Xenopus tropicalis: one gene and its partner. Each later gene encodes a partner of the first gene's protein in a complex. Links are inferred from orthologs where the notes say so. Each region holds a gene or a part of one and is shown on either strand. Other genes may lie near its edges.

Region 1 (4,070 bases):
GTTCACCTGTTCACACCTCAGACTGTAGGAGCAGTAGAAACCCACAAATAATCCCTTCACACTCTAAAAAGAACATACTGTATACTGAGGTGGTACTGCAATTAAAAAGTTTTTTTTATTTTATAGTTATTGTGCAGACTGTAGGAGCAGTGCCAGTATTGTGTCACTCTATGCTGTCTATGTGTGCCATACACACAGACAGCATAGGGCAGGCAGAGTATGGCACACACAGGCAGCATAGGACAGGCAGAGTATGGCACACACAGGCAGGGTAGGGCAGGCAGAGTATGGCACACACAGGCAGGGTAGGGCAGGCAGAGTATGGCACACACAGGCAGGGTAGGGAAGACAGAGTATGGCATATACAGGCAGGGTAGGGAAGACAGAGTATGACACACACAGGCAGGGTAGGGAAGACAGAGTATGGCATATACAGGCAGGGTAGGGAAGACAGAGTATGGCATACACAGGCAGGGTAGCGCAGACAGGGTATGGCATACACAGGCAGCATAGGGCAGGCAGAGTAAGGCACACACAGGCAGCATAGGGCAGGCAGAGTATGGCACACACAGGCAGGGTAGGGAAGACAGAGTATGGCATATACAGGCAGGGTAGGGAAGACAGAGTATGGCATACACAGGGACACGCACGTCTATTTTATGTCGCCTGTGTCTATTTTTTTGTCGCCCGTGCTTTTTTGCTGCAAACCTGCCTTTTTGTTGATGTGACCATGCCCGATTTTACGTGACCACGTCCTTTTTGACGCACAACGAAAAATTCCGTAAAAACAAGTAGGATCTATCCTACATGCACTATATTTTATAATTCCTATGATTATTCATTTTCCAACTTGAATATAGTCCAACTATATAAAAAAAAGTCTATTTCCTTATATATAAAGGTACACTGTTCCATTACCAACTTGACACTAGATATATCTGACCATATCGTCTAGTTTCTATTACTGTTCCTTTTCCCACTAGATGTTAGCAAAACTATACTGAAAGATCAATGTCCTAATCTGTAAAGCTGCTCTGTTCTATTACCAACTAGGAACTAGATATGTCTGAAGAAATTGCCTAGTTTCTATTACTGTTCCTTTTCCCACTAGATTTTAGCCCAACTACACTGAAAGATCTATTTCCCAGTCTGTAAAACTGCTCTGTTCCATTAGCAACTTGGAACTAGACACAACCCACCGCTCATAGTAAGTTATTTTAGCTGTTACCACTTGCCTAGTAAATATCCGCCAGGCGACATTTTGCCAGTCTCTGCTCCAGCCTATGACGCCAGTACAGGTCGCCGCTGGATGATGTCATTGTGGAATCTCTCCAACCCACGTGACTGTGCTGGCAGCGTGAGCGCTGAGGAAAGGGCTAGTGTGAGCGCTAAGGAAGGGGCTAGTGTGAGCGCTAAGGGAGGGGCTAGTGTGAGCGCTAAGGAAGGGGCTAGTGTGAGCGCTAAGGGAGGGGCTAGTGTGAGCGCTAAGGGAGGGGCTAGTGTGAGCGCTAAGGGAGGGGCTAGTGTGAGCGCTAAGGAAGGGGCTAGTGTAAGCGCTTCCCAGGGATGAGGAAGTGGAGACGCAGCTGATTGCGACACCGCATACCATGATCCGAAGAGCGCGGTTAAGTTTCAAACCCAATGTTAAGCCGGGCGGCCGCGGCCCTGGCCCTAGCCCCGGTACAACACCCGGCAGTGGTGGCATTGCTACCGATCCCAACAGGGCCTCTCAGGAACCCCCATGCCCGAACCATGAAACCGTCGAGAAGGATAACGGAGTGGCGGTGTCTGATGTGGCTGAGACAGAGGGAGCGACAACGGTATCGGCTGCTGCTGACAGAGGGGACTCGTTTGTCCAGGAAGAGGAGGAGAAGGGAACAGGCCTGTGAGTGACAGCTGATTGGCACTGTCTATCTATAATCTGTCCCCCCTATAGGGGGCGCTGTTAGATAAAGGGAAAATAAGTTTGATGTAAAGGAATTTTACTGTGTTTGAAGTTGTTTTTTTTTTAATCATCACATAGTTGTGATGCAGTCTTTCAGCAATGGCAGGTTGCTTTAGGGCTCTGGCACATGGGGGAGATTAGTCGCCCGCGACAAAACTCCCTGTTCGCGGGCGACTAATCTCCCCGAGTTGCCTACCCCTGCCATCCCACCGGCGAACATGTAAGTCGCTGGCGGGATGACAGACGCGGCGGCGCGATTTCGCGCAAATCGCCGAAAAAGACTCGCCCCGCGTGTGCCATCCCGCCAGCGACTTACATGTTCGCCGGCGGGATGGCGGGTCATGGCAACTCGGGGAGATTAATCTCCCCCGTGTGCCAGAGCCCTTAGGGCCGGGACAGACGGGGAGATTAGTCACGGGCAACTACTATCCCCCTAATGCCATTCCACAGGCTAGAATGTAAATCGCCGAAGTTTCCTCTCAAGGCAACTTTGCTGATTTTTGCAAATCGCAGCGCCGCGTATGCCATCCCACCGGTGACTTACATTCTAGCCGGTGGGATGTCATTATGGGGAGATTAGTCGCTAAATAGCCAATCACAAGCCAATGACAGCCCTTATTTTGCATCCCCGAAGAACTGTGATATGTGGCTCACTAGTAAAAAAGGTTGGGGATCCCTGCTCTAGAACATTAGTTGTAGCCCTTGTTTTTTGCTCAGGGAATAATCATTACTGTAAGCTTTGTGAACTCACATGTAGAGTGGGCACTCGCCGAATCCCAGTGTTAAAAAGGTTTAGGATTGAGGAGAGCAGAATAACTGCTGTGAGCAAGCTTTATTATAGGCTACTAAATTCATGCTTTGTGCCATAATCCCTGGGAGAGTAGACAGATGTGTGTGTGAATCTTTTTACAACTATTTACTGCAACTAAGAACAGCTTTTAGTGCTAGTGCCAGGGGGAAAGCATTCCCCTCAAATAGAGGGTCAAAGTACCAGTGTTCATATTGAAAAAAGTTCTGTGCCCATGATGAGTTATTAAGTCATAATTTCTAATCTAAGATAAAATAAATGAAAGTTGTAAAATAGAGCAGAGTTTTTTTTCTGCAGGGTGCATGTTTAAAAGATGTGGCCCTCCAAGGCCTGCCTAGTGGCACCATAGACTTCTTTGGGTGATACCATTATTTTAATACAAGTCTAAAGAAATTTTTGGACTACTGGATATTGCCAAACATCTAAACTAGCTGAAGGCATTTGTGCCATAAGGCACTCCTTGCACTTCTTTAGAGTTGCCATGCAGTCCTTCCTGCCTAAGAGGGATGGACCGAATCCATGTTCCTGGCCAAACGGAATCCGAATTGGAAGTTGAAAATTTTGGCCGAATCCAAAAATAGTAGATACCGATGTTTGGGGGACCCTGAAGCAGCAGGCAGTAACTCCAGGGCTCCCACAGGGGCCTGCATCAGAAATATGGTGCACAAACCAAACACTGGAAATGACACCAACCAGACTTAAAACAATTTTTAGCTCGATTATGTCTGATTCCCACCACAATGCAAGAGTTATTGCACCATTTTTGGCACATTGATGCCACAGTTGTATCGGGAAAAAGTGCTGCATTATAGGTAAAAATATATGGTGATTGTGTCTACAATCAATTGTAATGCACTCTGTGGTGCCGTAAGGAAAATTAACCTTTTTTCACATATGACTATGCATTAAATTGGCTGCTTTTTTGTTATTTCTTCTTATACTATACCATTTGTTCTGTCAGGTGCAAACATGCTGTCCCAACTGGTGCTGAAGTTCAGGCATGTGCAACATCTACACCTCTCCAGCGTAGAAAGAGATTTGCTACTTTGCCTAATATTGGAAAACCAAGGGTCTCCATTCCTTCGGCCGTTACCACATTACCACTTAAAGCTTCTCAAGGAGACATTCCTATAGCCGTACCTAGTATCGGTGTGGCTGAAGCCGCTACTCCAGAGAAAGCCAAGTTAGAGAGCTCTTTCAAAATACCCACTCCCCCTAATATTTCCCAAGCTTCGTTGCCTGAAAAGAGAACTCCAGTGCCCCAGGTTCCACAGTTTACGCCTTTTAAGAAACCTGTTCTTAAACAACCTGAAGTAA
Region 2 (10,852 bases), on another chromosome or scaffold:
CACATACACAAACTGTGGTAAGTTATTTGGCACTGAAGCCTTGGTAAGTACTCTATACAGTCCTGCGCTCAATCTTCTGTTCATGCAGACTTCCCAAAAAGCTTTTGTAGCCAACACCTAGGGCACTGCCCAACCTCCTCCTTCCCCTCCTTTGTAATAAACAAGTAATAAGTAAATGAGACTCTGCAAGCTGTCACGTTTATAAAGCACTCCATGTATTTATGTGATTATGGGTGTTATACATGCAGCTCTATACATATGTGAGGTTCAGAGCTTCCCTACACAAGGAGTCATCAGTTACCTACATAATTGTTCTCACATGTACAGCCTAAAGGTATTTATTGTCAGGAAAAGGGCATTTAAATGTATAAATAAATAGCTGTGTACAGCAATCCACAGAGCTCCTTAAGAGATAATAACAGGGGGTTCTCTTATGTAGTCATTATTATTAATGCACTGAAGCCTGGTGTCCTTAGATTCCTCTAATATGGACTCACTGGAATACTTCCATGTAAGCAGCAAATTGGCTTCATTTGAAAGTTGCAATGAGCTTCACTTGTTCATACTGTGAATAAGGTGTAACAATAACAGCAGTGGGACGGCCTATCTGTATGTGAAACAGAGATAAAACTGCAGCTGCTGCCAGATTGGTTTATAGCCCATAATGTAAACCCTTGCCATGAAAACATCACATGAATACAATAAGGACCTTCATGTGTCCTCACTAGAGTGTGTTTGGAGCAGATATGGAGTTCTGCCATGCTGGGTGCACACTGAGCAACTGATTTACATGGCTATCAATTCTACCCACACCTTGCTATGGGTCGCTCTCTAGCTTTATGGGCTGCCCATTGTGCCAGGCCTGCAGAAGATTCCAAAACAATCTCAGTTAACCAATAAAAGGTATCCCTTATTCTGCACTTACTTTGCTCAATGGACAATGCTCGACCACTCTGAGGCTTCTGCCAACTGGATATGAAAGGACAAGCTGGCGTTTGGAACTCAAGATTATCAGTATTATGTAAACTGTACCAAAATAGTTTCATGGTTACTTGCAGCAGAGTCTTGCTATTGCTACATAGTGTATGGCACGTAACTGGGGCAGTTTTTGTTTTGTGGGTGGGTCAGAGCAGTTGTGATTTGAATGAGAGACTGAAATATTAATGGGGGAGGGTAAGTAATAAATATTAACAACAACAAAATTGTAGCCTCGCAGCAATAGTTTTTTGGCTTCTGGGATCAGTGACCCCCATTTGAAAGCTGGAAAGAGGCAAATAAATAAAAAAAAACTATAAAAAAAGGAAAACCAATTGAAAAGTTGCTTAGAATTAGACAAAAAACATACTAAAAGTTAGCTTAAAAGTAAACAACCCCTTTAAGTTAACTTATGTTATAGAATGGCCAATTCAAAGCAACTTTTCCATTTTTTTTATATATGATAATAGAAAATGAAGACCATTTGAAAATTGTCTCAGAATAGTGCTCTCTACGTCATACTAAAAGTTAACTCAAAGTTGAACAACCTCTTTAAGTTAGTGATAGAAGGGAATCCTTGTAATGATACTTTGCTTAGAGCTGAACAGAGAAACCTTAGATGACGACTCACTAATTAACTTGCCAAAGCAACATCACAAGACTTAAAAAATATATAAATTGGAAAAGTGCTCAAAAGAGCAGTTGCTGCAATTGGACATGAATTTGTTTGGGGGGTTTATATTTCCTTTGAATACAGTTCATGGGGTATTGGGGTGCTGTCTGGGAAGTGCTTGGAAATGTTTGCTATGCCGAATGTTTGCCAGAACTTTCCCAAAAGAATGAAATAGGGACATAATAGAGCAAAGCACCACTTTGCCTTCTCCCTCCAGCTGAAGTGCTGAACCGTACAGAGAATCCACACTGTGCCATACGCCAGGCAGCCCAGCCTATACAGACCGTTACTATTTGTGCCAATTCATGCAGTAAGTGATATCTGTTGGGTCACATTTACATTCACTGGAGATATCTCTAATAATCCCCTAACTGGTGAGTCAGTGCTGCTGTAAACTGAGCTGCTTCCTTATTCCACATCACATGCACCAGTTCCCCATTCCCCTTCCCTATGCCCCTTCCCTATGCACACAGTGCAGCAATAACACAAATGTACTTATACCTGCACCTCTGTACGGCACTTTCTCCATTATAATCAGCTTGCTGCCTATTGTACGGACCAGATGTACAGTATTTGTTTTTTTCATTCTGTGTGGTGAATTATAAACCCTCCAAACACTTTTGCAACTTACATTATTAATGTTTTTTTCTAGTTTTTAAGATATTAGGTTTTTAAACTGGGACTTGGCCAACTCTACTTTGCAAATGCGAAAGCCCTAGCCTTTGTAACTAGCAGCCCCTAGATCTAAGGTACCCACCCATTTAGATATAATTTGTATTTTAATGTGATTAATTTTATATTTTATCTATCTGTATTTGTGAATTTACTCTGTCCCCTGCTACTCCCAGCTAAGGCCAGGTTACCCACCACTCGCTCTTTCAGATGGGCCCTCCCTTGTGGTATGAAGGCATTTCTTTATATAACTAACACATCTGTAATAACCTAGGTGCCAGTGATTCTTAAAACAAGGGTCAATTGTTTATTGCTGTAACCTGGAGGGACAAGTGCTATTTAACAGGCATTTAGTTCCAGTGTGGGCTAGTACTTACCCAGGAATCCCCCACACAAACTGTTCTACTAAAAAATCATATTCTCTTAAAGCACAATAAAAGGGGCTTTGGCAAAAAAATCTGCGAAGGCGCTGACAGCAACCCCTATGCGCCCCCCTTGCTAGGGAGGAGAGTGGTTGGGGAGGGGGGATATCAAAGAACTATAGAGGAAGCAAACACCATGATTCAGGCCCCCCTGTCCCACCCCCACGACTGCAAGGTCTGTTTCTTTTATAGTTACACCCATGGAAAAGAAGTGCTACCTAGTGTAGGGAAGTGTTTAGGTCCGGGGCCACCCTACGAGACGGCAGAAAAGACATCACGCATGAGTGCACCTGAGGATTTTTACTTTTTCAATTTTTAATATTTATTGATTATATAGGCACCTGAGAGTGGTCCCCACGGCTGCCCCCCTAGTCACAGGCCCTTGGGTGCCTATATATAGATATGACTGTGTCTAGAAATCTTCCATACCTAGCACAGCACCACCATCTTTCTAAACTATATATTCCAGGGCTCCTGGGGAGCCTTGCAGTACTGGGGTCCTGAGTTTGATTCCTGACTGTAAGCAGTGTGTATGTTCTCCCTGTGCCTGTGTGGTTTTCCTCCAAAAACATACAGGTAGTTATTTTTAAATTCCTTGGGTGCAAGTTTTGGCTGAATAAAAACAAGATTTACTACCAAATAAAGCCCCCTGTAAGCTGATAGTGTGCATAGAGGCTGCCTAATAGCCAATCTTAGCCCTTATTTGGCTCCTCCATGAACTTTTATGGTGCTTGTGTTGCTCTCCAAGTCTTTTTACATTTGACTGTGGCTCAAGAGTAAGAAAGGTTGGGGATCCCTGATATAAGTAAGTCTAAATTTCCCAATGACACAAGTGTACACCCCGTAGTGCTCATCTAACAACCACTTGTGCCCCAGGGAAAGCTGCACTCTGCTCCCTGTGCCAGATTATATGAGGAGCAAAGTGCAGCGTCAGGGGTAATAATGAGCAAACCTGTCCCATTTTGCAAAAGATTTGTAAAAATTTGCAGAACGCATTGAAGTCAATCAGCATTCTTCTTACCAAGCAACATTTTTGCAGCCATTATAATCTATGGAAAAATTTTTGCTCATCACTAGTAAGGAGGCATAGTTGGCCTACTCCTCCCTATGTTGAATGTCGAGTTAGGGAATGGGCAGGGGGAGCGCAGACTGCGGTCTTTTCTTTTTTTTTTTCCCGCACTTTGCACTCTACGTTCTGCAAAGTGTATGACCCTCTATAAACGCTAGGTTAATGTTTTGGCGCTACACAAACAACAGATGTACAAAAAAATAGTTATAGCATCAGCGCCCCCCAGTGTTGGCACAGTGTGTTTACATTTTTAGCATCTGTCTGTGTTTAATCTACACGCTCAGTCTGACAGATTGTGACACAAATTAATCTCCAGTGATATTACTCAGCTCTAATGTAGAATAAATAGGCGCAGTCAGGCACAGTCTCAGTCTCTTCCGATTTTATTTTAATTAATTACTAGAAAAAGGACGATAACAATACTAATATCACCTTACTTCCGGTTCAGCCAAGTCTTATCCCGCCTCTTCCCCGACATGGGAAGTGATGTCATAGAATGTGAAACCGCTCTATCAGCTAATAGGGAGGTAGGAAGAAAAGCGGGGCGTACCTATAGTGACAGAAGTCTTATGGTTCCGCGCTTGTTTGGATGCACAGTTAGCGAAAATGTCGGGCGCGAAGCAATGTCCTGATTGCGGCTCCTCAGATATAGTGGAGGATGCGCACTATTCCCAGGATCAGGTGGTGTGTGCCGACTGCGGCTGTATTCTGAGTGAAGGCCTAATCACCACCACCGCTGCGGAGGAGAGTCACTTGCAAGGTGTGTGGCTCAGCGTGAGTCTCAGCTGTGTGCATGGCTTCCGGTGCTGCTGCTCTTGCCGTGCATTCTGGGAGTTGTGTGCCACAAGCAGAACTTTGCTACCACTTTCCAGTTGTTCATGAGAGAGAGATTATGTGCCATATACACACTGTAAAAAAAAGACATTGTAAGAAGGAAGACCCTGCTGCATAAAGCTTACAATCTAAGTGTGGGGAGAAATTGCACAGCTGGGGTACCTCTGCATTCAGCCCTCTTTCCATATATAGGCCTTGTTTTGCCCAGCTAGGCATTCTGTGCCTTAGTTCTTTCTGCCTGGCCTTTCTACTAAAAACATCTCTATGAGGCTTTAAAATTTGTAGAATGGTGTCACTGAGGGTGGATTTAGTCTTAGGGTGAAGACACAGAGCAACTAGTAGCAGCTACTAAATGCCAGAAAATCCCCTGCCATAGACAATGCTGAGAATTGCCTCTGATAAAACACGTAGAGACAGTTATCAGTAAATGATCAGCATTGTCTATTTTAGTAGCCACGACAAGTAGCTGCTACTAGTAGCTCCGTGTGTCTTCACCCTTAGAGTAATACTTGCCTTCATGTTTTGTGGGTTTCAGGAACTGGCCTGCTAGTTCCCACCAGTGGCATTTTTGCAATAAAGCCATGCAAGGCCCTTTCCTCAGGTGGTACTGTACCAGGGACTGCAAAAAAAACTTATAATCAGAGTCTATTAACCTGCCTAAATGTTTTTTGCATGTGGGAGGAAACCAAAGGAAACCCACACAAATATAAGGCAAACATAGAAACTCCTTGCAGATAGTTCCCTGGCTACATTCAAGCACAGAATGGCAGTAATGCTAGCCTGGGCACCCACCCTTGCCTAAATCATTTGTTATTGCAGATCATATGTTTATTTGCCTAATGGGCATTTGCCCGAAAATTGGCCAGATGTCTATCAAGTAGATCAGAAAAACCATCAGATGAGGATGAAATTGTGTAGAAACGAGTTCACTAACTGATACAAGGGGGTTGATTCACTAAAGTGCGATAAATCTTATCGCGCACTTTTTTGAGTTAAATTAGACGCAATAATTAGCGCGCAATTCACCATACTACTATCGCGTGCGTTAAGTCGCCATATAGCATGCGCTAGTCTTAACACATGCGTTAATTTCCGCGCTGAAAAGAATGCGATCGCATGATTCACAATCACTTAGGCGCGCTAAATATCGCATTAGGCTATGCGAAAATTAACACCTACTACAGGTTTCTACAATTATAGAAAAGTACAGTAAATGAGTTTTTGGCAATAAAATATGGACTTAGCAGTGTTATTTATTCAAGTATGTGTCTTTTTACTCAATTTTACTAAAGTCTTGGCATGTATGGAATTTTGCTACTAATATACAGTACTATAGCGGTAAATATTTAGTCGCCAAAATATACAGTACTGTAGCGGTAAATATTTAGTCGCCAAAATATACAGTACTGTAGCGGTAAATATTTAGTTGCCAAAATATACAGTACTATAGCGGTAAATATTTAGTCGCACAAAATACATTACTAGGTATAATAATTATAGAAAAGTACAGTAAATGAGTTTTTGGCAATAAAATATGGACTTTGCAGTGTTATTTATTCAAGTACTGTATATACTCGAGTATAAGCCTAGTTTTTCAGCACCCAAAATGTGCTGAAAAAAGTCACCCTCGGCTTATACTCGAGCCAGGTGCCATGGGTCCCTCTAGACTAGCACCCTCTCTCCTTTGTGTGCAAATTAGGCCACCCGCAACCAGACCCTCCAGTGCCCTGGCCTAGGCTCCCACTAGCAATACTTATTTCCCCTTACATCTCCTCCGGGACCGGGTCTGCTGCCAGTTTGCCAATGTGCAATGAGTGTGGGGTAGTACTCATATTGTTTTTGTTGACCCTCTTCTCCGCTTACAGAGCTAGTTTACTGTTTTTCTTTGAAATAAATATTGAAAAACATATACCCCACTGATGCCTCAATTAATGTAATTTTATGGGTATTTATTTTGATTGTTAAAACTTAGCAGTAGCTGCTGCATTTGCCACCCTAGGCTTATACTCGAGTCAATAAGTTTTTCCAGTTTTCTTAGGTAAAATTAGGTACCTCGGCTTATATTCGGATCGGCTTATACTCGAGTATATACGGTATGTGTTTCCCCTAGAGTGACGCAGCCGCCAGTTTGCAGGGAAATGGTCATTTTTAATACAGTAATTTTCCGCAAGTATTGGCGTGTATGGCTAACATGGCGTGCGTTCAGTTGCACGACTATTTATATGCGGCTACAAGTGATTAAATGTTTCGCCAGGCATGGATTCGCAGCGAATTTTTGGACGTGCAGCGAATTTTTCTGCGGCAAATTTTTTCATGCGTTTCGCAAAACAATCTGCCAATGGCAAAACGCATAAAAAAATTCGCCACGCAAAAATTCACCGCACGTCCAAAAATTTACAAAAGCGTCAAAAAATATAATAGTCGCGGGCAACAATTTTTTTGCCCGCACAACATTTTTGCCGTTTCGTGGATCTTTCGAAAGATTTGCTAATTTTTCACCAAAGATAACCAGAACACATTTGCTCATCACTAGTGGCTACTATTTATAAGCATCTACTATTTATATGCGGCGACAGTTTATATACTATTTCTAAGCTACTATTTATATCTGGCGACTAAATGCGAGCGTTATTTAGCGCATGTACCGGCAAATACCGCATTGAAATAGTCTTCGCGAGTTAAATAACGCATGCAATATCGCGCGTAAAATAGCGCAAGTATGCTTATAGTGAATCGTGCGAAAATTAAGACGCGATAAAATTTTTACCGCACGCTATAAATAGCGCACGTTATTTCGCACTTTAGTGAATCGGCCCCAAGGTTCTTTAACCTGATCCTGGCAAATACTTTTGCTCTACCATAAGCAGACTGAGATAAGCTTCTGATTCAGTCACTCCAGACCCAGGTTGGCAGCTTACTGGCATGTGTATGGGGTCCTCCCAATATCCCACCCAACCAATATGTATATGAAAATGGGCTAAATATCAATTGGGCAGGTTATAAAATCAAATTGAGCAAATTGATGTAATCCTTTCCTAATGCATCACCTTAGTGATCATTGGTACAACAGCCAAATGATCAGATCATGCTGATTCGTTCCTGTGTGTTATTGACCAAATAAGTTTGTGTTAACTTGGCTGCCTGTTCTTACTATAAATGTCAGCCCGCATTCTGGTTTTTGTTCTTACTTTCTGTGCCTGTAGTTCTGAATGCCCTTGGATCCATAACCCTTTCTTGTTTTTGTTTACAGCTGTGAGATTTGCCGACAGCACCGGAGAGAATGACTCGATGACCGTTAGTAAGCTCCGGGGTAAGTGTTTGCTGGAGATGTACAGGCAATATTCTGCATGAGGCACTTCTGGGCATGAAGGCCTCTGTCTGTAGGAAGCACCTTTGTTGTAGAGCCAACACATACTTCTTGTGTAAAAAGTGGAGTGAAGCATTACCGGTGATGTTGCCCAAGGCAACCAATCAGCAATTAGATTTCAACAGTTAGCAAAGCAAAGCATCTGATTGGCTGCTATGAGCAACATCACCGATAATGTTTTATTCCACTTTTTACACAGCATGGGTGTGCATTCATGTCAGAAACCACAGTACATTACATTCTCATGCAAGGACAGCAAGTTATTCCATAAGGACAGAGCTAAGCATCTCATTGATTTAAAACATTCAGGAGCACTTTGCCCATTTATCATACCTGCTGCCTCTGCATAATGCATTATTGGGGGTATCATTTTGTTTATCTGTGTGCTTTCACAACCTAACATTCTGGTTCTGTAGCAGAAGTGTCCAGTCAAAATGTTCTGCATGTTTGAAATGTGCAGGAACTGGTTTGTTATACACTAATTGATACAAATTTCCTTAGCATGATTGGTTATGCATGAGCTGATAAAACCTTATGACAGTTGGCAGCTTACTGGCCTGTGTATGGGGCCCTCCAGGCGGCATGCCCAACCAATATCTGCCCAGTTTTTAGCCAGATATCTATTGGGCGAGTGAAAATCCCATACAAACACGTTGATGCCGTGATCTCATGATGATGATTTATGATCTAATGCAGTGCTGTCCAACTGGCATGCGGCCCGCGACCCCCCTCTGTGTGGCCCCCCACCTGTCTGGCTGCTTTGATGTCTTACCTTAGTGTAAACTTTAAATGGTATCAGTACTGTGATTAACTGGCCCCCTGCGTCGTTCACACCTCAAATTCACGCTGTAATTTCCCTGTATTGTTTAATAATGTAATCCCCTGTGTTGTTCACACCTTTTAATCCCTGCATTGTTCACACCTCAGGCTCAGACTGTAATCACCCACATTGTTCACACCTCAGGAGGAGCAGTAGAAACCCACAAATAAACCCTGCACACTATAAAAAGAACATATACTGAGGTGGTACTACACACAGGCACCATAGGGCAGTCAAGAGTATGGCACACATAGGCAGAGTATGGCACACACAGGTAGGGTAGGGCACACACAGGCAGGGTAGGGCACACACAGGCAGGGTAGGGCACACACAGGCAGGGTAGGGCACACACAGGCAGGGTAGGGCACACACAGGCAGGGTAGGGCACACACAGGCAGGGTAGGGCACACACAGGCAGGGCAGGGCACACACAGGCAGGGCAGGGCACACACAGGTAGGGCAGGCAGAGTATGGCACACACAGGCAGGGTAGGGAAGGCAGAGTATGGCAGGTTTTTTGGGTATGATCATGTGATAACATGGGTATGGTTTCAAGTGGGTGTGGTTTAAAAAGGGGAGTGGTCAAAATTGGTTTCCATTATCGGCCCTCCTCCATGTAGGCCGGAAAAATTCCGGCCCTCAGTACCACAGAAGTTGGACAGCACTGATCTAATATGATATGGATTGTTCTGATTTGGCTCAGCATGTTAGTCGCCACATTAGGTAAAGGTCCTCTCATTTGGCAGATAAACTGTTCTATACTATAATTTATAACTTGTTAATCATCTAAAGAGCAGCAAGTGGTCATAGAGAAGCTGGGATATATTATGAGTTAATTCATATGTACCTTGATGCTATTTTGAACAGTAGATACAGAACTGTATGTGATCCAATATTGTACTTCTTGGGAGCTACTCTTGTCTTTTGTCCCACAGGAATTGTACGTGTGCGGAATATCTGCAGAGTCCTAAGACTACCTGACGGCTTTTCAGATACAGCAGTATCCTACTATGAACAAGCTTATAAGCATCCCCTGTACCACTCTGTCTCCATTGAGAAGAAGGAGATAATTGTGGGCTGCTGTGTGTACATCACTTGCAGGCAGCACCAATGGCCTATCACTATGGCTACTATTTGCTCTTTGGTTTATGCCAAGAAAGAACTGTTTGCGAGCATTTTCCTGAGCATAGTGCAAGTACTGAAACTGGATGTCCCATCTGTTAGCCTCCAGAACCTTGTGATGAGTCACTGCAGAAGGTGAGAAATGCAAGCTTTCATGTGCCCATGGTACCTATGAATAACTTATTTACAAACCTTTTTGGCACCCTGGGTCTAGTTCTAGTCTTGTTAAAATGATGCCGGCAGGGATATTTTGAGACGATTTGCAATTGGCCTTCATTTTTTTTTTTTTGTGGTTTTTCAGTTTCAATTTAGCTTTTTGTTTGGCAGCTCTCCACTTTGACATTTTAGCAGCTACCTGGTTGCTAATGTTTTATTCTAGCAACCAGACAGTAATTTAAATGAGAGACTGGAATATGAAAAGGTGAAGGACTGAATAGAAAGATAAGTAATAAAAAGCAACAATAACACTTTAGCCTCAGGGAGCAATAGATTTTTGTGTGCCAGGGTCAGTGACCCCCATCTTAAACCTAGAAAAAGGCAGTAAAGGAAAGCAAATAATTAAAAAAACAAAACAAAAAAAAAAACAACAAATAAATAAAGCCAATTGCAAAGTTTTGAGGAATAGGATATTCTATAACGTACTAAAAGGTGAACCACCCATTTAATGCTTTGTGGTAGGCTTATGTGGAACCACTGGTTTAGTAATCCCATGTATATATCATACATTCCCTGCAGAATCACCCTCCCCAAAAACAGCCCAATTGCCCGTACCTATTAATAAAGTATAGTGGAGCAGCATGGCTGTTGGCCACCATGTCTGGCTGCTTGACATCATTTAAACAGTTGAAGTCAGGTACATTCTCCTGGCTGCCAGCTAGTTTAGAAAAAGAATGCCATGG

What was found. Proteins that work in one complex are often made in the same cells at the same time.
Region 2: bdp1 (region 1) and brf2 share a complex: the UniProt entries of both Homo sapiens proteins name them as parts of the TFIIIB complex. The link is inferred for Xenopus tropicalis from reciprocal best matches to the Homo sapiens genes BDP1 and BRF2.

Annotation. Positions count from the first base shown.
Region 1 is NC_030677.2:182,614,086-182,618,155, forward strand, and holds the start of bdp1 (transcription factor TFIIIB component B'' homolog), read left to right. Parts: upstream 1-1,270; 5' UTR 1,271-1,607; coding exon 1,608-1,885; intron 1,886-3,714; coding exon 3,715-4,070. UniProt on the Homo sapiens protein: General activator of RNA polymerase III transcription. Requires for transcription from all three types of polymerase III promoters. Requires for transcription of genes with internal promoter elements and with promoter elements upstream of the initiation site.
Region 2 is NC_030679.2:118,999,746-119,010,597, forward strand, and holds the start of brf2 (transcription factor IIIB 50 kDa subunit), read left to right. Parts: upstream 1-4,317; 5' UTR 4,318-4,417; coding exon 4,418-4,571; intron 4,572-7,895; coding exon 7,896-7,955; intron 7,956-9,766; coding exon 9,767-10,088; intron 10,089-10,852. UniProt on the Homo sapiens protein: General activator of RNA polymerase III transcription. Factor exclusively required for RNA polymerase III transcription of genes with promoter elements upstream of the initiation sites.